7 linked regions of the Xenopus tropicalis genome follow. The protein of the gene in region 1 interacts with the protein of each later gene in a pairwise test. Links are inferred from orthologs where the notes say so. Each region holds a gene or a part of one and is shown in the gene's direction. Other genes may lie near its edges. The genes, in order: morn4, ranbp3, exosc8, ssx2ip, hmmr, bend3 and trim23.

Region 1 (3,500 bases):
ATATTTTAAAAATACAAACAAATTAATGAAGGTCAGAATAGAAGGTGACAAGAATAGGTTAATGTACACACTAAAAGTTCATGTAAAGGTGAACTTCCCCTTTAAAGCTAATGCTCTCATTATAGATGACAGCAGTTACTTTACTCCATTAGACAGGATAATTGAATGATCAGTACCATGGGACACTGAAGCTCTTGTAGTGACTAATAGTTACACTTTATTGTCATTGTAGTTTGGTAGTTACCTGTGTTTACAAAGCCTATCCCACACATGCCCGGTGTTATGAGACCCAATGTCCCTCTCTCTGTAACTCAAGATGAACTAAAAGTAGTCATTTCTGTCTGATAAATATAGAGGAAAAATGAATGGTCTCCCTCAGTGACAGCTAAAACAAGTGACTCATTGTTAGCAAAGCAAGAAAATCCATCTGTCAGCAAGCTAAAATAGCAATATTAGTTCCCATTGCTGTAGTTATGTCCAGTACAAACATACAAGCTTTAAGGTACTTGTTCTTATTGACACAGAAAGAACTCTTAAAAATTGCTTAAGCCAAGGTGTATACAGTCATGGCCCAAATTGTTGGCACCCCAGAAGTTTTTCCAGAAAATCAAGTATTTCTCACAGAAAAGTATTGCAGTAACACATGTTTTGCTATACACATATTTATTCTCTTTTGTGTGTATTGGAACAGAAAAAAAAAGGGAGGAAAAAAAGCAAATTGGACATAATGTTACACAAAACTCCAAAAATGGGCTGGACAAAATTATTGGCACCCTTAACTTAGTATTTGGTTGCACACCCGTTGGAAAAAATAACTGAAATCAGTTGCTTCCTATAACCAACAATAAGCTTCTTACACCTCTCACCAGGAATTTTCAACCACTCTTCCTTTGCAAACTGCTCCAGGTCTCTCTTATTTAAGATCTCTCCACAGATGTTCAATGGGATTTAGATCTGGACTCATTGCTGGCCACTTCAGAACTCTCCAGCACTTTGTTGCCATCCATTTCTGGGTGCTTTTTGACGTATGTTTGGAGTCATTGTCCTGCTGGAAGACCCAAGATCTCGGATGCAAACCCAGATTTCTGACACTGGGCTCTACAGTGCGACCCAAAATCCTTTGGTAATCCTCGGATTTCATGATGCCTTGCACACATTCAAGGCACCCAGTGCCAGAGGCAGAAAAACAGCCCCAAAACATAATTGAACCTCCACCATATTTCACTGTAGGTACTGTGTTCTTTTCTTTGTAGGCCTCATTCTGTTTTCGGTAAACAGTAGAATGTTCTTTACCAAATAGCTCTATCTTGGTCTCATCTGTCCATAAGACGTTTTCCCAGAAGGATTGTGGCTTACTCAAGTACATTTTGGCTAACTGTAGTCTTGCTTTGTTATGTCTCTGTGTCAGCAGTGGGGTCCTCTTGGGTCTCCTGCCATAGCATTTCATTTCATTTAAATGTCGATGGATAGTTTGCGCTGACACTGATGCCCCCTGAGCCTGCAGGACAGCTTGAATTTCTTTGAAACTTGTTTGGGGCTGCTTATCCACCATCCGGACTATCCTGCGTTGCAACCTTTCATCAATTTTTCTCTTCTGTCCACGCCCAGGAAGATTAGCTACAGTGCCATGGGTTGCAAACTTCTTTTTTTTTCACGAAAAGTTGCGCCTTTTTCGTAGCGTTAAAACTTAAAAGGTGCGAAGTTTCGCGCAAGTTTTAACGCTACGAAAAATCGCAAGATTTTACGCAACTTTCGTAATGGCTACGAAAAACTCGCGTTTTTACGCAAAAATCGTATTGGTAACGAAAAATTCGTAAAGACGCCGAAAAAATCGCAAAAAATACGAAAAAATCGCAAAATACCGATCTTTACGAAAAAAACGCAATCGGACTCATTTTGACCCGTTCGTGGGTTAGTAAATCAGCCCCTTAGTGTGGCGCACACAGACACACAATGCAAAGACTAAGTGAACTTTTCTCCTTTTTATCTGCTTTCAGGTGTGATTTTTAAAGGAGCATCATATGTTTGAAACAATCTTATTTATCCACAATTTTGAAAGGGTGCCAAATAATTTTGTCCGGCCCATTTTTGGAGTTTTGTGTAACATTATGTTCAATTTGCTTTTTTTTTCCTCCCTTTTTTGTTCTGTTCCAATACACACAAAGGGAATAAACATGTGTATAGCAAAACATGTGTTACTGCAATACTTTTCTGTGAGAAATACTTGATTTTCTGGAAAAACTTCTGGGGTGCCAACAATTTTGGCCATGACTGTATATGATATAATGGGCAAGAAAATAAAAGGGCGGAAGGGTTAAATCACTGTGGGGGTGCCAAATGTTAGGCACCATCCAAGTAATTATAACCCTTACATGATACCCCGGGGTTGTCATTTCTGTTAGCAGAAAACTGCACAGGCCCCAAGTACTTCTGAGCAATCACCATGGAACGATCTTCTTCCTGCTTTTGTAGCAAAAGTTGTAATTCTTACAGCTCTATGTTTCAGACTCTAGAACTGACATATTTATGTGTACACTTTTCAGGTACGAAGGGGAGTTTGTTCAAGGAAAATTTCAAGGCACTGGTGTTTTCACCCGCTACGATAACATGAAATTTGAGGGAGAATTTAAAGGGGGTCGGGTTGAAGGTTATGGTAAGTAGAAATCTTTGGCCAATCCTATCCATCTGCATTCTTCTGTTTATTTGTATGATGTGAAGCCAGTGTAGGAAAATACATATTTAAGGCTCTAATATCACAGTGCCCTCTGGTGACATAATTACCATGGAAAATGGCGTAGTTCTTGCTTAAATATAACAGTAGCTTTTGATCTTTGCATTTCTCATAGACATAAAAAGCTTTCTCAGCAAATCCAGACATACACCAGCACTTAAGGGTCTGATATCTGAAGAGGGAAATGGTGAAAATGTCAGTTTATGTACAAAATAATTTTATTTTCACTTATCTCAGCTATTAAATATGTGATATTTTCATGTCAAATAATTGCAGAACTTTCAGAACTTTAAAAGTGAAATTTACAGCTATTTTTTTTAGATAAAAGTGTATTTTTTGTTGCATAACTTTTTCATCTTAGACAAATGTGATACAATCCCATTTTCAAAAAAGTGATTGAAATGATCTGCAAATCTTTTAAACCCCCATATTTAATTACAAAGAGTACAAAGTCAACATCAAATGTTGAAACTGAGATATCTTATTGTTTTCTGGAAAATACATGTCATTTTGAATTTGATGCCAATAACACATACAGTTGTATAGTACTAAATAAAAGCTTACCAGAGAGGCTGGGTCTCTCAGAAGTAAAGATGGGGATGGCCAAATATTGCAACAGTTTAAGAATAGTATATTGCAAAGAATTTGTGAATTTCATCATCTACATACATAATATTATCAAGAGATTCAACAAATCCTGAGAAATTTCTGTACGCAAAGCTTAACGCCAATATTGGATGGCTATGGTCATGGAGTCTTCAGACAACAC
Region 2 (3,500 bases), on another chromosome or scaffold:
CCTATTCGGGTCAGCAACCATTGGACTCAAAACTGGACACCATTATGAAGGTCGACAGATGGATTCATTTGTTTCAAGTTGTGGTGCTGTATAACATATAAGGATCTGTGTCAGTTCTGGATACCATGAGATTGCTCTTAAAGTGTGTTCTCTAAAGCAATATTTTTAGAGCATGTTCAGTAGTACATTAAACGTGTGGGTTTAAACATTTCCTCTAACCAGTTAATGAGAACTTTGAAGAAGATCAAAGAACTATCCTATATATTGTAAAAGGTTCATGCATAAAAGAAATATCACACTTTTTATACATAGACTTTTTTTTTTTTACTTCAGGACAGCAATGCACAGACAGAGTCTTGTATTGTAAAAGACTCCAGTGAAGACTCAGAACAGGGTGAGCAGAAGACACAACAGTCCTTCGTCTTTGGGCAGAACGTGCGTGACAGGGTAAAAGTAAGTCATATTATGTGTTATGACCTTCGGTGTAATTTTTAAACTTTTGCTTCAGATTTATTTATTTTTGGATCATGGATATTAAAGCTCAACATTTTATGATAAAATTGGTTGGATGTTTCAAGAGGTAGGTGGATAGAAAGATATGTAATATATATCACAAGTGATACCTTGTATTCCATACCAGTCAGGTATGATGGTCCCGCTGAAAGAATGAATGAGATCTTGACAAACAAATGATAAGTTAAGAACTTGTGGGACTTTTTAAACAATGAAAAACCCAATATATTTTATAAGTTGCAATCTGCCGGCTAGGTTTTTTTTTTTTTTTTTTTTTTTTTTTTTTTGTACCAAACCTTTGGTGTCTTGCTGATCTCCACTGCTGTAGCTTTTTATAGGGGTGGGTTTGAGTATGCTTTAAGCCACATGAAAACTAGTATTGTCATAGAGAATAACTGCAGGGAGCAGTGCTACCACCACATTTTGCAGGCTATTTGTGGTTGATTGGGGGATCGGTGCTTCTACCATGCAGTGGGTAGGTTGAAATTTCACATTTTGCATGCAGATTATAATTAAAGTAGGTTATGTAAGAAGTCTGGTTGCTCTTGGGCAGAATGGGGCCTTAGAAAATTCTTGAAGGGCACATCTGGCCCACTGACTTTTGGTTGGATAGCCCTGTGTTATATAACCTCTCTATAAATAAATGTGTGTGTATAAATCTTGGACCAAAGATATCTTTATTTTTGGCTTTTGTGTAAATTACTCCATTCAGTAAAGAGGAAAGGGATTACAATCTCATTTATTTTTCCTACATTGAATAACTTTTCACAAATAGTTGTTTGCAAAATGCAGTAATGCAATATCTAAAGTTATATTATGTGCCAAAAGATGTAAATATTATCTTATTTAATGGACACTTTGTTAGAATGACCACCTTGTTGTTAACTGTTTTCAGCTTGGAGTGCAAAGTAAAGATTCACCTGATGATGAGAAAGTGGGGTCCCAAGGTGTGGATGCCCCAGCACAGACCAATTACTTTCTACAGTACATCAGCTCAAGGTGAGGTATCCTTTACTTGTTCAGTGAGGTGGATCTTTACTTGACTTGCCTACCGATGCATTGGACCTAAATGGGAGGATGTAATCGTTTGAGCTAGGCTGATGAATAAATTATATTGGTGTCCATGGGAGTCTTATTGGAGAGGACTACATTAACACACCAATGCAGTTTCATATCTAGCAGATTTTTTTTATTTATTTATAAAATCTCCCTGATGGATATTTTGGTGAATTGGGACCCATACATGGGCCAGTACTTTGCCAGTTCAGTCTGTAATTGAGTCAGCAGCTTTTATCAGTTCAAGTATGGCCACCTTATGTTTCTTCAGTATTAAAATAGTTGAACCTATTTATATTTGTCAGAAACTTAGTTGTGTTTGCTGATCATCTGTCTGTAAAGAGTTTCTAATACTGCAGTGTAACCCAGCTACCAAATTCACTAAGTGTAACTGTTCCTGTGACATGTGAAAACTTACCCAAATCAAGAACTGCTTGTGGTTTATCTAAATGGAACTTTGTCTAAAGTTCCGGAAATTTTGCATGCTATAATTTTAACATAATGCAAAGAAATGGATACTGCTATGTGCACTATATATACTAACATACATGACACCTTAGAATCCATTTGCTGCATCGACTTGTTGATGCAGTCCTTGGTCCGATGCCGCCCGTGTCCAATGTTGTATTTTGATCGTTTGGCCCTTAGGTGGGCATATCGGGAGAAGATCTGCTTGTGTGGTGGCTGCACCAAACGAGCGGATCTTATGTATGGCCACCTTTTACTCTGTTTCATATCCTCTCACCTCACATACACACTGAATTTCAAACACAGAGTTTAAAACATGCATCTTTATTTCAAATTTATGTTTTGGGGACGGACCCCTTCATCAGACATGTGATGAAGGGGCCTGCCCCCGAAACATCACAAATTTAAAAAAAAAAAAAAAAACCCTAGGGATAATCCTGCTGCTCAAAGACCTGTTGTGCCGGCTGTTTTCTTCAATTGCCTTGTAAATTACAGCCCTCTAGAACCTGGTCTGTACATATTTTTATTCTTGTTAGCGCCATGTTGCTCTTAGGTTTAACTGGGGCTTTTTTCTTTGCAGTCTAGAGAACTCTACGCACAAATCTGAAGCAGCCAGCAACAAGTTTGTATTTGGACAGAATATGATTGAGCGAGTTCTGGTAAGGCTGAGAGAGAAACACTTTAATTGTATATATTTGCTTTTTGTTTTGTCTTTTTGTCATTGTTCACTCAAACATTTCTTAGGAATATATTTGCACTTAATGTTGTGTTAATTCATTTGCCTGCAGAGCACTGAGTTATTTTCTAGGCTTGGTGGAATAAAAAATGGAGGTTGTAGACACTGGAGCATTGGAAATGTGATAAATAGCTTTGCCATTTGGCAGTTTGAACCCTAGCTGATTGAATATGCAACACAATTCTAAAGTTTGAAGGAATATTAATGGTTTGGGCTATGGTCCCTGGTTTAATTGAAAAAAAGTGTATAGTGACAATTTTGCAATTTAATGCTGCTTAGTTTGTGGGAAGCTGCTTTCTTGTTTCAGTATTACAATTTCCCTGCAGAGTTTGTAAAATGACTACCCTGAAAAAAACCCTTGTGGCTTAATTGAAGCCATTTCTATCAGTAATCAGTGCAGATATTTTTTTTGGTCCCAAGTACCCTTAAGACCCTGATCTATTTGGGGCCTGATTATAAATCATAATGTCATACAAACATGTAATATAGTAAATAACCTGACACTGTATGAAAAGTTAGACAGTACTGATCTAGTGAAAAGTTTTCCTAGCAATAGCAAAGGGAGAGGACCAACTTCTTATTAACCATGGTCTCAAAAAGAGATCTTGACAGGTGTCTAATTTACCTTGGTTATCCTATTCTATAGGCTTTTATAGAATTATGCTTTTAATATAGCCACAGTTGGTTCTTGTAAGTACCATTATGGCAGAAGGCCACCATTTACTTC
Region 3 (3,500 bases), on another chromosome or scaffold:
GACTGGGGGTGATAGGGAAGTTTGTGGCAGCCTTTACAGAGATGTCATAGAGCTATACCAGTATAAGTATTGTCCTGTATTAAGCACAGTTATTCTGCAGCTTATAGTTATCTTTTAAGGGAATTTTTCTTTTGTGCTGACAGAGATATCTCTTTTTTCCATTTCCAGTTCCAAATGTGGATCTTACACCCTTGTGCTCCTCTCAGTTTCGGCCTGGTCCCCCAGGGGAAGAGGCTCAAGTTGCCAGTCAGTTCATAGCAGATGTTATTGACAAGTAAGATGATGGTTGTTTGTGAACAAAGTGATGATCATGTTCCTGTGTCACTAAATAATAATATAAAAAACCATTAGTAACCCCCAGCCCTGCAATAACCACTTTGGCATCTTCTGTGCAGACTGTCATCCTCAGTCATACTGGGCTAAGGGCAGCACAGTGCCCCAACTGGGTGGGGTACAGATTTAAATTGTACTCTGTCAGATAATTGGGCTGCCCCCAGCCCAGTGTGACCTATGGATCTAAACCTAAACAATGAGGGTATAGGGGTATAAGAGCCCACAATTGCTTTTGTTGGGGGTTCTTATTTTACTAACTCAATTGTATAATTGAAATTTGTCAGTATCAGTATTATAGGATGTGTCATAATTAGTCTTACTGAAGATATAAACTTTTCCCACGTCAGGTTGTAGCCTGACTTATTCGTGACTTATGGTAGATATATCAATAAGGAAAGTCTCCGACATGAATCACAGGCACCAGAGAAAACCTGTGGAAAAAGGCTCTGCAAGGGCCACATGGCTAGATCACCCCTCTTTTTATTTACCACTTGGGTGGCCAATTGGCCAAAGATTTGTTCATTTGGTGACCCACCAAACAAGAGTATTGAGTGTATATTGCCTGTTGTAGCTGGTTTTCATTATTAATACAAGCAATACTGAAACAGGAAAAACAAGAGATGAAACAATTGTCCATGTAATCTTTAACATGTGTTCAGTTCCCAGATGCTCCTGAAAGAAGACTTGTGCATCGCACATGGCAAGGTATGGATCAAGTGATACAAACAGGCGTTTGGTTTTTAATAGTTATTGAATGTATTTTGGTGATGCTTGCAGGGGCAAACGGCCATTGCATTATTACATATCTGTATGGGAATGGATGCCCCAAATCAGGATGCAGGATTTGGATTCAGCCAAATTCTAGGTGTTCAGCTGTTCCGAAACACTTAGAGAAAGTCACAATTAATGCACTGTTGTTATTTTTCTTAAATACGCATAGGCAAATTAGATGGATTTGGTTTGGTATTCAGCTGATTCTTGTTTGGAGAATGCGGTATTTGTCGAAATCCAGAAATTGTGGATTTGGTACAGTCCTAATCTTAATCAGGGTTGGACTGGGCAGCCGGGACACCGGGAAAAAACCACTGACGCATTTCACTTAGGCATGCTCAGGGGAGGACGTTAGGGGCCCCTGCGGCGGGGGGGGGGGGGGGGTTAGGGTGCGTGGCAGGAGATGTGGCCAGCGGGGGCCCTGCACTCACCAGTTTCCATAGAAACTCTGCTCTAGCTGTACATTCTGCTGGAGAAACACGCAGAATTGTTTTTTAAGTTCTGCCTGTGTAAGCCTGCATTTTTGATTTTATGAACTTTGCAGCACACATGCTGTTTACAGATATAAATGTCACTGATGATTTGCCAGAGGGAAAATTGCAGCTGGGTGAAAGCTGCTATTTGTTTTAGGAAAATTGATGGTGCTGGCAAACAGAGGGATATATGTAATACAAATGATGCGGTGTGGGTGGGGGAGTTGTGTCCAACTTATATACATGGTAGGAAAATGTAGGGTTTACATGTAAGGTAAAATTTATAAAGGGCATTATATACTGATATGTATATGCCAATTTAGTTTAATTTTTTGAAAGGTGACCTAGTGGACTATAAATGAGCTATTGGTTATACTTTAATATTAAATGTATAGTTCCCCTTTGACTTATTTTTGTTCTTTCCCCTCTCTAGCTAGCATGGGTTCTGTACTGTGATCTCATATGTCTCGATTACGATGGAAACCTTCTTGATACTTGCATGTGTGCTTTGGTTGCTGCTTTACAGAATGGTAAGTCATTGTTCAGTGAAACAGTCTTTGAGGGTACAGGGTAAGAATGAAGTGCTGTACAGCTGTTGCAAGTCCTGTTGCCACTAAACCTCAGTGGGAATCACTTGTTTATTATTATGTCTGAGATTCATGTTAATACCAAATATACCCCCAGAGCAGACTGGCTCAGTTTGACGTTTTTGCATTGCTTATGCAATCCATTCCATTATCTAGGTCTGGCTGTCCAAAACCTCCCTATTGAACTTTTCCAGTTAGCGGTTGTTGCAAATTATAAGGTTTGTCTGTCATATAACCTGGTGCTACAGGGCTGATTATTAAATTATAAGGAAGTTACATGTTCAGTGTATCAGCAGAAAAAAAAATGGCATTTTATGAGACACAGATCTTCCCTGCTAAAGGGCTGGGGTTGCCTTGGGCTGGTACAAACCCCCAAACATAATGTACAACATTTTTACCCTACTTCTATGTTAAGCTTTAGTTTACCTTTAAAGTAGAACTAAACCATAAAAATGAATATAGCTAGAAATGCCAAATTATATGTATTGAACTTATTGCACCAGCCTAAAGGTTCAGCATCTCTATAATGATCCCTTTAAAGTTATGCACAGAAGCTCCTACATCTTTGATTTTGTTAGAAGTGTCAGTGACACTGCACATGCTCAGTGTGCTCTGAGCAGCTAAATTATCAAGCAGAAAATGAGGTTTGTCTGTAATATAAGCTGATGGTAATTGCACTAGTTTCTGAGATGACATACTAATAATTTTTATTGTATACTAATCAGTCTTATATTGTTATACTTATATTCAGCAGTGGCCCCCCTTCTCAAAAGAAAAAAAATGTGGGGGGGCGGGGGCCCGGCATGCTCTTGTGGTCCTGCATAAATATTTAAATGAGTGGCTGGGGGTGGGATCTCTAGGCTACAGACAAAGCAAACCCTGTGGTCATGTCCCCCTTGAGGTCTGCTTCCTTTATAGTTCAGCCGCAGTTTATATTCTATATATACAGTATAGTGTGAGTGGGTCCCTAAGCTCAGGTAAGTGACAGCAGCACAGAGCATGTGCTGGGAATCAGCAGAAAAGAAGATGGGGGCTACTGGGGGCACAGATCTTCCCTGCTAAAGGGCTGTGGCTGTCTTTGGCTCATACAAAATATAATATACAATGTTTCTCCCTTCCTCCTTTAGATAAAAGTTAGTTCTCCTTTAATGTGGTGAACTGTGTATTTACTACAAGCTACATATGTTGTGGTGCTAAATATTGCACATTAATGTAAGGGCACATCCTAAAGTGAAATCAAAAGTGTCCTTTCCTAGACCAGGCCATTCTGGTGGGAGTGGATAGGGAAAAAAACATGAGGCAAAATGATCAAACAGCGAAGCTTGAACTCGCCACA
Region 4 (4,128 bases), on another chromosome or scaffold:
GGTAAAGAAGATTCCCAAGATTCCCATCCCATTCCCATAATGCTCCTGCACCAAGATTAAGACCAGCTCTTTAGTAAGCGCATGCGCTTTCATATCTTCTGTGAGCGTGCACAAGCAGGAGCGCTCCTCTTCCCACGGACTCTCTGACACTCCCACTATGAGCACATAGCGTTGCTATCCGAACAGCGCTCAGGGGGGATTGAATGATGCGCATGCACAGTATAGGGCGGTGAAGGAAAGGAAGTGGGCATCCCATTTCAAAGATGGCGGTGCCTTTCACTAAAGCAATGCTAACGTTTGCTGTAAGTAAAACTGTTATTCTTGCATTAATAGAGCCAAAAGTAAAGCGTTTTTAATTAACAGTAGTAGGACTATTGAAGGGTATCCTTTATAGGTTTTGCCCTTCCTTCTCCTTTAAAGAAGCAGTTATTACTTGCCTTCTTCTTCTTTCAAACTGGCCCTCCTCTATTCATGCCTCTCTGGCACCTCTAGCAACCAGATAGCTGCCTAAACTCCAAACTGGAGTGACGCCTCACAAAAACCCTAAATAATTTAAAAACTGCATATAAAAAAAATGATACCAATTGCAAATTGCTTTAGATTAGCATTCTCAACATCTTAGCAAGTTAATTTCCAGGTGAATAACAGAATTAAATGCTATTAGCAACACGTAGCACTTTCACAAATTCATGGCTTTAGTCAATAACCAAGTTTTTCTCTTTTTCCTGGCATAGGTGAAAAGTTTGAGCAGAATTAAAAAAAAAAAAAAAAAAAATACTACTATAAGGATACAAAAAAAAAAAAGGATTGATCAATGCACATTCCCTGGTCCCGTTTCATAAGTAAATTGTCTGTTAGTTTCATGCTAGTGCATACAGTATTTTTTTGTATGTTTGTAGTTAATTTGGCCAGATCAGTTGCACTTCCATTGTATTTGTATACTTTATTTAGCCTTGGAGTGCTCCCACAACCTCTTTTTGTATACTACTATAAGGAGCGGAGACCGTAGTTTCTATGCAGCTATTGCCTGCACCCACCTAGAAATAAAAGATCAATGGCAGAGGTATAAGTTAATCAGTAGTAAAAACAATCACTGTCTTAAGAGCTGAGCTTCTGACATCAGCTGACATAAAACATCCCCTGACAAAGGTAGAATCTGCAAACAGATACAAAGAAAATGCTGAGCGAATCCCACAGACTGCTCTGCCCAGGATAGACTGCTCACTAGGTCCATCACCTTGTGCTGCACCAAATCCCATACCCACAGCTCGTCACTGCCCCTAGGAGGCTACGCAAAGCGTCACCGTACTTATATACCTGTAGTCACACTCTCGCGAGATGAGATTTCCGATGTCTGGGTTCGCTGTCCAGAAGGAGTCAAGGAGCTAGACGCTAACAGCGCTGCGGGACTTTTAAACCGCGATACAGGATTGTGGGCTGTTTTGAGAAAAGCGGGACTGACCCGGGAAAAGCTGGACTTTTTGGCGGTATGCTATGTTTGTTGAAAGGGGGTTCATGGTATATTTACTGATATACCCAAATATATGTTAAATCTGAACAAAAAGGTTGCACCTGCTGTGGAGGTTTCTTTCTTTTTTTTCCCTTAACATTTAGTTTTAGTTTTATTTACGTGTATTCTATTAGCCTGAAAGCTATGTACCTATTTATGCTTTATTATTTTTTTTTTTGTATTGTTGGCAAAAGATCGACTTTGTAAATGACTTAGCAATAGCGAGAGCAGCTTGCCTGTAATTCTTCCAACTCCCTGCGCCATGGGGGCGGGGGAGGGGGGTCACTTGCTGCTGGGAACGTTCGCATTGGTTTTTCCCAACTGCTAGGCGATTGCCCATTCATTTAAACGTTGCCTGCGGGCGTGGTACCCTATACAAAACTTGCACTCCAGTAAACTTGGGCTCTGTGTATAAATATCATCTGATTTCGTCTCGCAATAAATATATGGGGATCAGAAGGATATTTAATATAGTACAGAAGGAGTGCTTTCAAAGTTCATGTTCTGTTGCTTTCTTAAAGGGTCCACATTCTCACTAATAGTATTCTGAGACAATTTGCAATTGCTTTTCACTTATTCTTTCTTGTGTGTTTTTTCAGTTATTTCACTTTTTCAGCAGCTTTCCTTTTTTGATATTTTAGCAGCAGTCTGGTTGCTAGGGTCTTGTTTACCTTTTGTAACCAGGCAGTGGTTAGAATGAGAGACTGGAATATGAATAGGAGAGGGACTAAATATAAAGATAAGGAATAAACAGTAACAATAACAATACAATTGTTGCCTCACAGAGCAAAAGTTTTTGGCCCCTGGGGTCAGTGACACCCATTTCAAAGCCGGAAATATGTACGGGCAAAAGGTAGATATTTAACTATAACAAATGAATAATAAAGACCAAATGCAAGGCTGCTAAGAATAGGGCATTCTGTAACATACTAAAAGTTATTTAAAGGTGAACAACCACTTTTAACCCATATGCAGGTTAGTGTTTGTGGGCCGTTTACTCAGTTGAGCAGAAACCCGTTTTTTATAAGCTGTGGTGCATGGTGATGTAAGTTATGCATTGTGTGCTGCATGCATGATAAAGTATGAATATAACGTACTCCATGTTGCAATAAAAATATCAGCTCCCTAATTAGACAACCTCTTTCTGTGTACCAGAATTTGATCCAGATAGTCCTTATTATATGCACTATATACAGAGAGCTAGACAGCACTTGGGCACTTTAAAAGACTAGCTAATAAAGATATTTAGCAGAAAATAATAAAAAAAAAAAAACAAAGGTAAAAACCTTTTTACTTTTAGATTTAACTTTTGAACATCGGATACTGAAATAGTAAACACAGCAGTGTTATTTAATGTCATGTCTACGTAAAACCTATTAACTCTTTTACTGCCAAGCACGTATGGCATACGTGCTGGCAGTAAAAGGGCTTAAACGCCAACGACGTGTCTCATACGTCGTTGGCGTTTAAGCGCTGCCCTCTGCAGCGGCGGCATGTGCCGCCGCTGCAGAGGGCTTCTAACAATGACAGCCCCCCTGGGCAATGTGCCAGGGGGGCTGTCATCAGGGTCCTGCGAACCGATCGCTCGCAGGACCCTCCAGGAAGCAGCAGATGCGATCGCATCGCATCTGCTGCTTCCTGCTTCCTCCCTCTCCCCCAGCGCCGGCCCAAATGACGAAGGAGGCGATCGGTCTTCAGGAACAGGTAAGGACTTTTTTTTTTTATTGCATTTACACACTTTTACACACTTATACACACATTTACATACATTTATACACACTTACATACATTTACACACACTTACAGCACACATTTTAGCATTTTTTTATTTTATTTTATTTATTTTTTTTCATTTTTCACACTTTTATACACTTATTTACACTCATATACACACTTACACACTATCACACAACTTTTACACATGTACACACATGTATACACAAACACTTTGGTTTTTTTTTTGTTTTGCTTTTTTTTTTTTTTTTTTTTCATATTACCACTTTGTTTTTATTTTCTTTTACCTAAAAACTGTTTATTTTGACAGCGTAACTATTGGATCAGATATTCTGGCCACTAATTACACTGTCATGTAACTTATTTTGTTGTTTCACTGATTTGCACAATTTTTGTGGTTTTATCACATTTTATCCCTATATAAGTGTTCCTGATCTGTTTTTAGCGTAGCTTTGCCAGGTGTAACTTTGGTGTACAAAAATAACTTTACCTATTTTGAATTCATCAGAATGTGTACTTTCCAAAAATATATGGTTTTCTGGGGGTCACTGTATAGTTAGGGGGGGGTTACTGCACATAATACACTGACGGGGCTCTGTGTGCAAAAGCTGAGCTGGCAGGCGAGAAATCCTTATGCGCTATTTTCATTTAGGGTTCAGTACATACCGCAGACTTTGGTATATCTATGCATATTGGGCATCAAACTGTTCAGTAGGCCTCTGGTGTTCCTATTGGGGGTGATTTGCCTTTGTACGCAAGAAATTGTGTGAGATAAATGTGACAAATTGCAACATTTTTAGGCAATTTTCTGAAATGTCATAAAAACCAATAACTTTAGGAAAGCTCTGCAGATTGGTACTTTGGTGTAGAAAGGACTCTTTACC
Region 5 (4,217 bases), on another chromosome or scaffold:
TCAGCCCAAAGGAACTAGGCCACGAAACAATTACCTGCCTGTTGATTTGCTTACTTTACTATCTGCATTGTGCAGGGCTGTCTCATTGGTGCCCCATGGACTGGATATAGCCCTCCAAGACATTATGTTTTATTGCCCCCTACATGCCCAAGAATTCCACAACCCTTTATAGTACTCTGCCCTATGCAAGGAAAAACTTGGACAGCACTGGTATAGTGTAACAAGGTGTGCTGTATACTCTGAATCTAAGAGATCACTACAAACCCAGATCTAGTCATTTGGTGTGACCCTCCTGCCCACCCTTCACATTGTACGCTGCCACTGCTGCAGCATTAACTGGTGTAGGACTAAACATTAAGAACAAAGTTTCTATTAGTCTAGTGCAGGGGTGCCCAGACTTTTTCCTGTGGTGATTGACTTGACTCCTCCCCGCATACGTACGCGCATACCCAATAAACCCCGCACTTCCGCATTTCGCGGCTTCGACGTGGTCCACTAGGAATCCATGGGGTATCGACCGGTGGAACGCGATCAACGTTTTGGCCTCCCCTGGTCTAGTGTGTGGGCTTTTGTGCGAAAATGATGTCAAATTTCTATTTATAAATTTGAAAGGTGTGATTTGTTCTGTAATGGGGTTACTGTCAGTTTTAGTTTTTTTTTTTTACTTAGATTATATTCCCTTTAATATTTAAATAGGCTGTTCACCATTATATTAGATTTTAGAATGGTGCCTAAAAAAGTCTTCACTTTTTAGTTATGCACAATCATGGAGTACTTTAGCAATCAAAATACAAGATGAAGAGTAGAGGGCCAGAAAAAATATACAAATGCAGTACAAATATATTAGTAAATACTAAGCCTGTATATCATATATCAGGGTATGATACATAAAAGTTACTGGGTTTTTTTTAATAATTTTTGCACATACATGGCATCAAAACCTACTGCACTTAAGACAATGGGACTGTAAAAAAATACTTCTAGCACCTTAAGTATGTCCTTTCCCTTCACAACCAGTGAAATATCCCGACTTCCCAATTTGCACTGGACTTCTTTGGCAAGGGTCCCATCGGGTACTTTGACTTCAATGAACACCTCTTCCATGGTCTGATACCAGCAACCCCATGGTGTTTGACAGGGGACCACCCCACTCCTCTCATCGAAGTGAGCAGACATTGCCTGAAACTGAAGCGCTTGGCAGCCTATGCCTCATACCAGAACCAAATATGGCCGCCGCATTCATGAGCAATGCATCGGTTTGCCAGAATTAAAAATGTCGCTAAGGGGTAAAATGAGCATGCGTAGAACAACTCCCACAATCCTTTTAGCGCGCCACGGCCTAGTTTTATTGGGTGGTCCCGAAAGCTGTATTCTGATTGGCTGCTTCGCCTGGAGCTTGTCGGGAGCTCGTTCCTTATTTGATGATAAAGCAGTGACTGAATTTTAAAGCAGCGAAAAGAAGGAATTTGTTATTTCGTGCATTGTTGCGTAGCTGTCAGTGATTTCGGCTCTGAGCAGTAGGGAAGGTGGTCGGGCGCTGGCTTCAGCCAAAATGTCTTTTCCCAAGGCTCCTCTGAAGAGATTTAATGAGAATATTGGTAAGTTTCAATCTAAGCGTGTATTTGGCAAGGTTGTTTCGCAGGAGTGTTCTGTGACTCATGTAAGTTCCGTTCGCTTCAATACGCGATATTCATGTACATTTAGTCTGACTGCAATTATTTTTAGACCATTAGATACTTAAACCATGGAGACCTATGGGCTTATGTAATAAAGGGCGCTAACTTTGCCCAGGAGCAGTAACCCATAGCAACTAACCCTTGAGGTTCTATAGGGACTGTTTTCATCTATATGCAGCTTTCCTTTGCTTTAGGAACCCCAGACAAATATTGGAAAGTAAAGGGGTGCTTGGAACCTAAACCATTAGAATTTTCCTTCTGTGAAGCTTGCAGGGTCAGAATTATCTTAAATTATACTGGGTTTAGGCTTTACAGATATGGGCATTTGCTTATAATATATGATTTTAAAATAAAGACCGCAGATGCAGGTGTATACCTATAAGTGGGGGTGCCAGGTTCTTAAAAGAAAGCAAGATAAGAGAATTAAAGTACTCACAAAATCATTCAAAATACAAATATGTACGTTCACTGAAACCCTCTCATGCAAAAATATTTCTCCAAAGTAATGTAGCCGAGTATATAATAGTCATATCCCAATTATTAACGGTCACTGTTTCAATTTCTCCTATATACCATTATAGCTAATGCTCAATGTTACCTTACATTATCTTGCATAGTGCTCCTGGTTAGGTTTATATTGTCTATAGCAGCATTTTGCTGTTATACAGCATTACTTTTGTTTAGTTTAATTGGTATATCAGTCGTTTGTACCTGTTTATTAGAAAAATTGCTTGTTTGGCTACCTCATGGCTGGCATGAAGGAAGTCAGAAGAAGGTATTTTTCAAAATACACTGCTGCTGCTTCAACCGTCAAATTTATTTCCAGCTGCAATTTTTTTTTTTTTTTTGCACATTCCTTAAATACTTGTAATACCATTGCTCACAGTGGTTTTCCACTTACTGCACTGACCTTTCTCATAAACCAGTTTATATCAATCAATATGAAGTCAACTTTGAATGTGTATCCTTGCCAAAAGCAATAAAGCTTTACCCATTTTGCTATAGCTGTTTTTGTGCTTGGCATTAGATCCACTGTCATATTTGTCAAACTGCGCTGACAAGTTGCACGGGCTGCTATAGCCCAGTAATTCCCAGCCCTGACAGACATATTGTCTCTGTAAATGGCTCCTTTTTATCTAGGTGTTCATGCTCTTTTTTAGTGTAGTCAACCAGGTGCTGGTTTAGTAGCCCAGTATTCAGTATGCTGCAACTACATGCAATTTGTTTGAAGTTTTTTTGTTAAAACTGTTTGATATAGTGATCCAGTTTATGTAGTTTGCCTTCCCTCTGTTGTTGTACTAAAGATAGATTGGGTAATGAAGCATTTAGGTCTGCTAAAAGTCTGTGCCCTTGTTTTACTATGTATGTCTCATATGTTTTCTATTTACCTATTATTATTCTATATATTTGAAGGATGTGCCCCTGCGCCTGGATCTTATGATGTGAAGAATTACGAGGGCCTCAAAGGACCTGTATCTTTTGATAAATCCCAGAGATTTCGTCCTAAAAAAGGTTTGTGCATATTTTAGACACTTTTCTTGAGTATTAAAGAGATACGATATCAACTTTCTAAGGAGGAAAAGCTATGCCGTTTCTTTTTGCAGAGCCTGCAAATCAGCCCTATACTACTAATGCACAATTTATTTTTATTTTACATAATGTTTTTGGGTGATGTTGCTGTAAACCTCTTGACTTAAAGCAAGCAGCAGTACAGTACCTGTAAGTTTACTAGTCTGCAGTCTAAGCACCATACAAGCCCCACCCTTGTTAACCTTTGCCATGTGTTTCTTCATGGGGGTTGTATAAACTATGGCTAAGCAGCACAGACCTTATGCAGTGGGTTCTTATATTCTTTGCATGCGCTAGAGCTCCTACAGCTGTGATCTGCTCCCGATTTAACAATTTCTTTTTGAATAACAATTTCTTTTAAAGGGAAATGTCCTATTCAAATACATGAACCAAAAAGTTTTACAGTAAACATTTGATTTCAGAAAGTAATATGTGGTTTTTGATCCAGTACAAATGAGACTATTGTTACATGGAGAAACCCCCACCACTGCCATCCATACTATATTCAAGAACCACTGACCAGCTAGGCATCTGCCTGTCATCGGGAGATCTTAGCCCAAAAATAGATGTCAACAAAAAAAAAAACACAATTTGTGACTTGGCATGTCAATAATGGGACAACTTCTATTAATTATCACTTTTTAAACTAAAATCAACCAAGAAACCCCCCACAATATGCTATTCTGCAACTTTTTTTTTTTTTTCTAAAATGTGATCTTTCTAGATTCCAGCAATGAAAGCCAACTCATGGATAAAGAAGAGGAATTATCTCCAGTTCGTCTACGAAAACATTCTCTTGGGTCTACTGTAAGTGTTTCATGTTCATGAGTTTTAAAATATGTTTGTTTTAAATCCACTACAACCTCTAAAAGTGAGACTAAAGTCTTATCTGGCATGCTATGTAATGAGGACTAACTTGTATTTTATTCTGATGCATTCTGACTATGCCATCTTTATCCCACTATCCTACTG
Region 6 (4,038 bases), on another chromosome or scaffold:
TACACCAGCAGTGAATCCACTAAAGCTGTCCATACACACACCAATAATATTGTACAAAACCTTGTTTTGTGCTATATTCGGTGCGTGTATAACGGCTCGACGAGGCGACCAATATCACAAAAGGCTGCGGATATTGGTCGACTTGTCGATCGGCCGGGTTATAAGATTTTGAATGTGGCGCCCAAACAAAATCTACGTTCAGGGCTGAATCGGCAGAAGGAGGTAGAATTCCTATTGTTTCTATCTCCATATCTGAAGATTCAGCCCTAAATGTCAGTGGAGGGTGGGAACGATCTTTCAAAATTGCTACATGTATGGCCACCTTAAGTCTCACATTAGCTTTAGGTCAGTCTGTGTAAAGGTCCCCGTACACGGGCCGACTATAGCTGCTGATATCGGTCCCTTGGACCGATTCGGCAGCTAATCGGCCCATGTATGGGCAGAACAGAGCGGCCTGGCCGACCGATATCTGGCCTGAAATCGGGCAGATCTCGATCGGCCAGGTTAGAAAATCCGGTCGGATCGGGGACCGCATTGACTCACTGATGCGGTCCGCGAACCGACTGCCCCATAAGCTCAAATGTAATCCGATCGTTTGGCCCCAGGGCCAAACGAATGGATTATTTTTTTTTTAAGTTACTTGCTACCCGATATTGCCCACCCGTAGGTGGGGATATCGGGTGAAGATCCGCTCGCTTGGCGACATCGCCAAGCAAGCGGATCTTATAGTGTATGGGCACCTTAAGACCCATCTTTAGCCTCCCCAAACAAAAAAGTCACCCTCCTATATCCAGGCTGAAGTTGTTGGGCAACCCTAGTCACTCGCTTCCTATCTTGATGCTGAATGAGGCCATCTTTTTCTGGCTGCCCACTTTCCAGTCAGCAAGAGCAGTGAGTGAATATTTGGCGATCTTGCTAGAGATAATGGCGTGGCGGGGACTAGCCACAGTGACTGACTGAAATGGCTGTGGAAGTGTGAATAATAGCAGCAGCATTTCGGCCAACAAAGCTTAGGAAAGCAGCTCCACAGCAGCTGGAGGATAACTGTAGCTGAAGAGAAAGTTTGTGAGAGTGCAGGTAGCGGCACAGCAGGGTCCGTACCGGGAGCCCAGGGGAGCCGGTGTCCTTGCTCAGTGGAGAGAGGGCAGGGGGGCTGTTCCCACTGCAGCCTGTGTCTCCCTGTGTCCTTCTGCGGAAATGACACACACGGAGTCCCGTCACGTCACGCGAGAGCGCACGGACACGCAGCACACAAAGACACACAGGCTCTTCGTGGGGGAGAGGGGAAAACACGGCCCGGTGCTGAAGATGAAGCCGGCAGCGGAGGGATATTAGTTGCGTGGCCGCCGCGCCGCTTGGAAACTTTGTTGCAGCTGTAGTGGGGCTCCGGCATTGGGATCCCGACTTTCTCTCGGGTAAGTTCCCTCCCTCGGTGCCTGCGCGCTCCCGGCTACCCATTCTACACTCGCCTCTCAAACCCTCCGCATTCCCACGGCTTGCTTTGTCTCTTTAAGGGCTACTGGGCAAAGTATCTAGCCGACTAAGCAGTGTAACGCGATTGGTAGGTAGGGCAACTGCTTGGTTTCAAGGTCCTGCTCATCTAATCTGTGGGACCTTCACAAACTAGCAGAACAGCTTTCCACTTCCCACTTCCCCACTTCCCTGGCAGCCTCAGTGGGCCTTTAGAAGTAAGAAAGTGTGGGCATGACTTTCATTCAGCCTCCCAGTGTAGTGGGACAGCTAAGCCCTAGTTCTGTGCTATGGCCTGGGACAAGTGCCTGGATATTATTATGCTTTAATATATTTTGCAGGGGTTCCTTATTCACATCAGTTGCTTTTCCAGTATAGCTTACAGTTAGGAACACACCAAAGCAATTCATTCAGAATTCAGTGAAATCCTTGCACTTTTTGCTGGGCTTTGAAGTGGACAAAAAGCATCAGTCTGAACTAAATCAGAACACTTAGAAGCCCATTTATCAACAGTCTGATTTTCACAGTTTTGGAGGTTTTTGAAACCATGAATAAAGTAATTTCCACTAATGTTCAGTCACTTACATTACATTACATTAACATTTATTTATAAAGCGCCAACATATTCCGCAGCGCTGTACAATAAGTGGGTTACATACATTGGACATACAGAGTAACATATAAAGCAATCAATAACCGATACAAGAGGTGAAGAGAGCCCTGCCCAAAAGAGCTTAAAAGATCCAACTGAAAAAGTTCAAACTATATAAAATACAGAATGAAAACAAAATGAACATACAAACGACAAGTTGTTCCACAAATGTTTGTGACTTATAAACCAAAAAAAAAACCTCTAAAGACACAAATTAAAGATTTACAGTTTGCCCAGGACAACTCCCGTTGACTTTTAAATGACCTCGGCAGCTTTTAGATGGCAAAGTTTTGTAGTAAGTGGTCTTTGTGGTTTTTACACTTAACAATTCACAAAAAAAATTGTTGTTTTTTTTTTACACAAAAAAACACTAATCATGAAAAAAATAAAATATGAACGTTAATAAATGCCCCCCCTTAAGTCATATGCTTGTTTGCAGTCAATGTAATTTAAACATTTTCTTTGCAAATTTGGAAATGCAATTCTGATTCTGATTTGGTATTCGTCCAAATCTTTTGTGGATGATTTGGTATTTGGGCCAAATCCAAAAACGATGGATCAGAACATTCATACCTACAGTCTAAAGTCCAAACCTTGCACCCACAGAGTAAAAAGTCTCTTTTACCAGGAGCCGCTGCCAACAGTATGTTATTGGGGTGCGGGAGAAACTATACAGATACCTTTTTTATCTATTCTATGGTGAAACCACACTTTCATTATTTCTGATATTTTTAGCCTTTGCATAACACTAGCATAGTCAGTAGTAAACTGCCCCATGTTACATTGTCCTATCTTTTCTACCCTAGACAGACACACACTTGCTCTCACACACTATGGTCTGTATAATCAACACCCAACTAAGCCTATCTGTATGTTTGCTGTTTGTGGGCAGAAAGTAGAGTACCCAAAAGGAACCAGTACATGGGAAAAGCTTCCAAACTCTGTCAGGGTCAGAATAACGAAACATAGGACACTAGCACTGAAAGGCATCAGTTTTCTTTTTGTCTTGGGGGGCTAAGAACCTTTGCTGAAAGTGTCCCTGTGCAAAGGCATATTATACACTTCTGTGAAGTTCTTTACTTTATTAAGTTTTTAACTGGTGTAATATGATTGGTGTAAAATTGCTGAAGCTTACATTTATAGTTAAAGGAGAAGTAAAGGTACAATCACTGGGGGGTGCCAAAATGTTAGGCGCCCCTCAATGATTGTAATTGCTTACTTGATACCCCAGGCTGGTGCTCCTGTTAGGAGAAAACCGCACTAGCTGCGAACGAGCGATCCTCTTCCTTCTCTCATCTATCTTCTGAATCCCGGGGCTGGCACATGTGCAGTAGAGTGAAAAAGCTGAGTGTTTTGTTAAAGTTCAGCTTTTCACTCTACTGCTCATGCGCAGGCGGTGCAAAGACTGCAAAAAGAAAGATGATTGCTCTATTTCAGCTACCCCTTGCTGGTGCTGTTTTCTTCTAACAGAAGCACCAGCCTTGGGAATAAGGTAAGCGATTGCAATCGCTGGGGGGGTGCCTAACATTTTGGCACCCCCCAGTGATTGTACCTTTCCTGTTCCTTTAAGGGAGATGTGCTGGAGCCACTAGTGCTTCTCTCCACTGTGTGTCAGAAATGGTATTTTAAGTCCATGTCTCAAGCAATTTTGTAGTTGAAAGGGCTTTATACAAACTTTAACAAAGTCCATGACGTTATGACAGTTTTCATTTGGCTTGGAAATTACAAAGGATTTAGGTCAAGGGCAGGCTTGATTATCATGGGGTTGGTTTTACCTAACATGATGATCATACATTGAGATAGCACAGCCATTAAACAGGAGGCAACTTGTACCTTGATTATTTTAGCAACACATGGAAAAAGATGGTTCTGTGGAAGCTTGGGACAGAATCTGGCCTGTTGGTGTACAAATATAT
Region 7 (2,976 bases), on another chromosome or scaffold:
GATTAGTGTTTGCTGCATTCACTGTTCATCTTCCTGTACATTATTCCAAACCTATAGGGATGAGTAAGATCATTTAAAGCGGTTGTTTGCCTTTGAGTAAACTTTTAATATGATGTATGAGAGTAATATTCTGAGGCAATTTGCAATTGGTCACATTTTTCATTTCTTGTAGTTTATGAATATTCTAGATTTTCGTTCAGCAGCTCTCCAGAATTTCCACAGTTATCTGGTTGCTAGGGTTCAAATTACCTTAACAAATAGGGAGTGGTTTGAATGAAAGAGTAATATATTTGTAGGAGAGGACCTAAACAGAAAGGTAAGTAATACAAAGTAAAAACAGCAATGATAAAATTCTAGCCCCAAAGAGCAATAGTTTTTTTTCAAAGTTGGAAAGAGTTAGAGAAATAAGGCAAAGAAGGCACATCATTGAAAAACTATTGAAATAATGAATAATGAAGACCAATTTAAAAGTTGCTTAGAATTGACTGTTCTATAACTAAAGGTTAACTTAAAGGTGAACTGCCCCTTTAATACATTTGGGGCAGTGCACATCAGTGGCAAATGTAGTGGAACACGTTTATGGGTATGAGGCCTAGTTTCCATTGTAAGTTACGGTTGCCTTAGTTATATTTAATTTTTTTATGTATTGACAAAGGCACATGTACTGATACAGGCTCTGCCATCTAGTATCCCTGAATCAGTGAAGGCAAAACCAAACTGGATCATTATGGCTGGTTTTAGGGTTAACACAGCAGGGCTGACACAGCAGGAATAGGGAATAATTATAAGTGGGTAACTATTTGTGGCATGTACATCAGGGATGTCTGAACATTGTTGTTAAAGGCCAGTTTTGTCACGCATGGCTGGTAAAGGAGTAGTTCTCAAACGGAGGGGCTTCAGATTAGTCCTCTTTTTACACATTGAGGCACCGGTATTGCCCTGAGGATCCCTTTACTCTTCCCCTGAGTAGCATTTCCATGTAGGCATACATATAAATAACCCTGTATTTAGTTCTTGAGATTTAAAGGAGAAGGAAAGGTAAAAACTAAGTAAGCTTTATCAGAAAGGTCTATGTAAATACAGCCATAAGCACTCGCAGAAAAGCTGCATTGAGACCTTTATAAAAAAAAAAACAGGATTTATTTTCTTCTTTCATGTACATATTTTCTTCGGGTATCAGACTTCATTTGCTTAAAATAATCCTTCAGGGCACGGCCTGAGTCTGCTCAGTTTGCTCCTCTCTCTCCCTCCCTTCTCCTCCTCCACCTCCCAACTTTCCTCTCTACCCCTCCCAACTGTGCTGTGTAATCTGCACTACCAACAGCTAGAGCTGCAGCACGGAAGTTGCTGAGACCAAGCTAAAATGGCAGCTGCTATCTTGAACAAATAGAGAAAGCTTCTAGGGCTGTTTATTTAGGTATGGTAAAGCTTTCTGCAGAATAAATATAGCGTTCTAGCTAGCACTTTTGTGGCTAATCTATTGGCAATAAAAGGACAAAATGCCTTCCCTTCTCCTTTTAAGCCTGTGTTTGTTCATAAGATCATGACTCTCCAATCCTCATGCTCTCTGTCTGTGTCCCCTGTGCAGCCGTGGTGTTTGTAATCGATAGCAGTCACCGGGAGAGAGTCACTGAAGCACACAGTGAACTTTCAAAGCTGCTTACTGAGAAGGAACTGCGAGATGCTCTGCTGCTAATATTTGCCAATAAACAGGTAACTAAATGAGATGGAAAAAGTAAAAGTAACATTAGCAGGCCACAGCCTTCAAGCGGTTACACTCCCAGCATAAAAGTTACATAAAAGTCAGTGGCGGACAGGGCTGCATCGATTCCTCAATTTCTCCAAGTGATTTGCTTATGAGCCCAACACCAAAATTAAGGCTCATTTACTCTTCTACCAGAGCATGCTTGGCACTCCTTAATCCTGCCGTGCAATGTGCTTAACCAATCAAAGAGCAGTTTTACAATATTGCTATAAATCAGGCTAAGGATAAATAAAAACCACACAATTTTTAATATAGTATAGTTTTAAATGTATTCTTCTGCATGCAGGGTGTGCATTAGCATTTTGTGATTTGCACATTAAATGAACTGTTCTGTCTGATTCTCTACACAGGATGTAACAGGTGCCCTCTCAGTGGAAGAAATGACTGAGCTCCTGAGTCTTCACAAACTGTGCTGTGGCCGCAGCTGGTACATCCAGGGCTGTGATGCCAGGAGTGGTATGGGGCTCTATGATGGTCTTGACTGGCTCTCAAGGCAACTGGTGGCAGCCGGTGTGCTTGATGTTGCCTAACTGAAGCCAGGGGCAAGTAATCTATGTGTGAGCAGCTGTTGCTAACACTACAGTGGCCTGTCTGAGAATAGCCTAAAACATGTCTAACCAGCCCGTGGCGCTGTGATTGTTGGCCTGCTGGGAGCCCCACAGGTTGGTTAAGGCTAGTTTGAAAACATAACTGTATTGACAGCTAGAAAACATATCTCTTTACGTCACTTTACTATAGCTAGTGCAAAAACTCCCCGGAATTAGTAGTTTTTGTGATGCCTGACTGTGAAGGTTGGAAATACAACTAATTAGCTAGGTAAGAAATTGTTGCTCTTATTTAATATGTTTAACAGTCTAATGTTTACACTACAGTAACAGTATTAAACAAAACGACACATTAAAGCCTTTCCCACCATAGCCGTGGAATTGTTACATCTTAGGTTACATTTAACCCACTAACCACCGCTGCAGCGCAGCTTGGCAATGAATGGGTTAAAGGTGGCCCATGACCAGTCCAAATAAGCTGCGTGTGTGTGCAGGACATTTCCATCCATGCCTCCAGCTGTATTAGTATGTGTTTAAGAGGCAGTTTCAGTGTAAGTGGTGTAGCAGTGAATTAACGTTAGCTTGTGGCTTAAGCAATCGGGAGCGTAGCTTACGAGGTGCATTAAAACCATAAACAGTAGTTGAGCGGCTTTATTTTCTTTTTGC

Evidence for each region.
Region 2: the proteins of morn4 (region 1) and ranbp3 interact in a two-hybrid assay, tested with the Homo sapiens proteins (2 studies listed by BioGRID). The two-hybrid records come from large-scale screens. The link is inferred for Xenopus tropicalis from reciprocal best matches to the Homo sapiens genes MORN4 and RANBP3.
Region 3: the proteins of morn4 (region 1) and exosc8 interact in binary tests that used the Homo sapiens proteins (3 or more experiments, as listed by UniProt). The two-hybrid records come from large-scale screens. The link is inferred for Xenopus tropicalis from reciprocal best matches to the Homo sapiens genes MORN4 and EXOSC8.
Region 4: the proteins of morn4 (region 1) and ssx2ip interact in binary tests that used the Homo sapiens proteins (3 or more experiments, as listed by UniProt). The two-hybrid records come from large-scale screens. The link is inferred for Xenopus tropicalis from reciprocal best matches to the Homo sapiens genes MORN4 and SSX2IP.
Region 5: the proteins of morn4 (region 1) and hmmr interact in binary tests that used the Homo sapiens proteins (3 or more experiments, as listed by UniProt). The two-hybrid records come from large-scale screens. The link is inferred for Xenopus tropicalis from reciprocal best matches to the Homo sapiens genes MORN4 and HMMR.
Region 6: the proteins of morn4 (region 1) and bend3 interact in binary tests that used the Homo sapiens proteins (3 or more experiments, as listed by UniProt). The two-hybrid records come from large-scale screens. The link is inferred for Xenopus tropicalis from reciprocal best matches to the Homo sapiens genes MORN4 and BEND3.
Region 7: the proteins of morn4 (region 1) and trim23 interact in binary tests that used the Homo sapiens proteins (3 or more experiments, as listed by UniProt). The two-hybrid records come from large-scale screens. The link is inferred for Xenopus tropicalis from reciprocal best matches to the Homo sapiens genes MORN4 and TRIM23.

What each region holds. Positions count from the first base shown.
Region 1 is NC_030683.2:33,184,897-33,188,396, reverse strand, and holds part of morn4 (MORN repeat-containing protein 4), read left to right. Parts: intron 1-2,543; coding exon 2,544-2,653; intron 2,654-3,500. UniProt on the Homo sapiens protein: Plays a role in promoting axonal degeneration following neuronal injury by toxic insult or trauma.
Region 2 is NC_030677.2:101,763,115-101,766,614, reverse strand, and holds part of ranbp3 (ran-binding protein 3), read left to right. Parts: intron 1-333; coding exon 334-453; intron 454-1,408; coding exon 1,409-1,512; intron 1,513-2,617; coding exon 2,618-2,696; intron 2,697-3,500. UniProt on the Homo sapiens protein: Acts as a cofactor for XPO1/CRM1-mediated nuclear export, perhaps as export complex scaffolding protein. Bound to XPO1/CRM1, stabilizes the XPO1/CRM1-cargo interaction. In the absence of Ran-bound GTP prevents binding of XPO1/CRM1 to the nuclear pore complex.
Region 3 is NC_030678.2:151,678,664-151,682,163, reverse strand, and holds part of exosc8 (exosome complex component RRP43), read left to right. Parts: intron 1-168; coding exon 169-274; intron 275-992; coding exon 993-1,038; intron 1,039-2,010; coding exon 2,011-2,107; intron 2,108-3,500. UniProt on the Homo sapiens protein: Non-catalytic component of the RNA exosome complex which has 3'->5' exoribonuclease activity and participates in a multitude of cellular RNA processing and degradation events.
Region 4 is NC_030680.2:77,489,901-77,494,028, forward strand, and holds the start of ssx2ip (afadin- and alpha-actinin-binding protein), read left to right. Parts: upstream 1-1,328; 5' UTR 1,329-1,487; intron 1,488-4,128. UniProt on the Homo sapiens protein: Belongs to an adhesion system, which plays a role in the organization of homotypic, interneuronal and heterotypic cell-cell adherens junctions (AJs).
Region 5 is NC_030679.2:25,070,368-25,074,584, forward strand, and holds the start of hmmr (hyaluronan mediated motility receptor), read left to right. Parts: upstream 1-1,417; 5' UTR 1,418-1,552; coding exon 1,553-1,598; intron 1,599-3,089; coding exon 3,090-3,188; intron 3,189-3,969; coding exon 3,970-4,052; intron 4,053-4,217. UniProt on the Homo sapiens protein: Receptor for hyaluronic acid (HA). Involved in cell motility. When hyaluronan binds to HMMR, the phosphorylation of a number of proteins, including PTK2/FAK1 occurs.
Region 6 is NC_030681.2:79,023,987-79,028,024, forward strand, and holds the start of bend3 (BEN domain-containing protein 3), read left to right. Parts: upstream 1-1,238; 5' UTR 1,239-1,415; intron 1,416-4,038. UniProt on the Homo sapiens protein: Transcriptional repressor which associates with the NoRC (nucleolar remodeling complex) complex and plays a key role in repressing rDNA transcription.
Region 7 is NC_030677.2:187,798,319-187,801,294, forward strand, and holds part of trim23 (E3 ubiquitin-protein ligase TRIM23), read left to right. Parts: intron 1-1,588; coding exon 1,589-1,713; intron 1,714-2,115; coding exon 2,116-2,295; 3' UTR 2,296-2,976.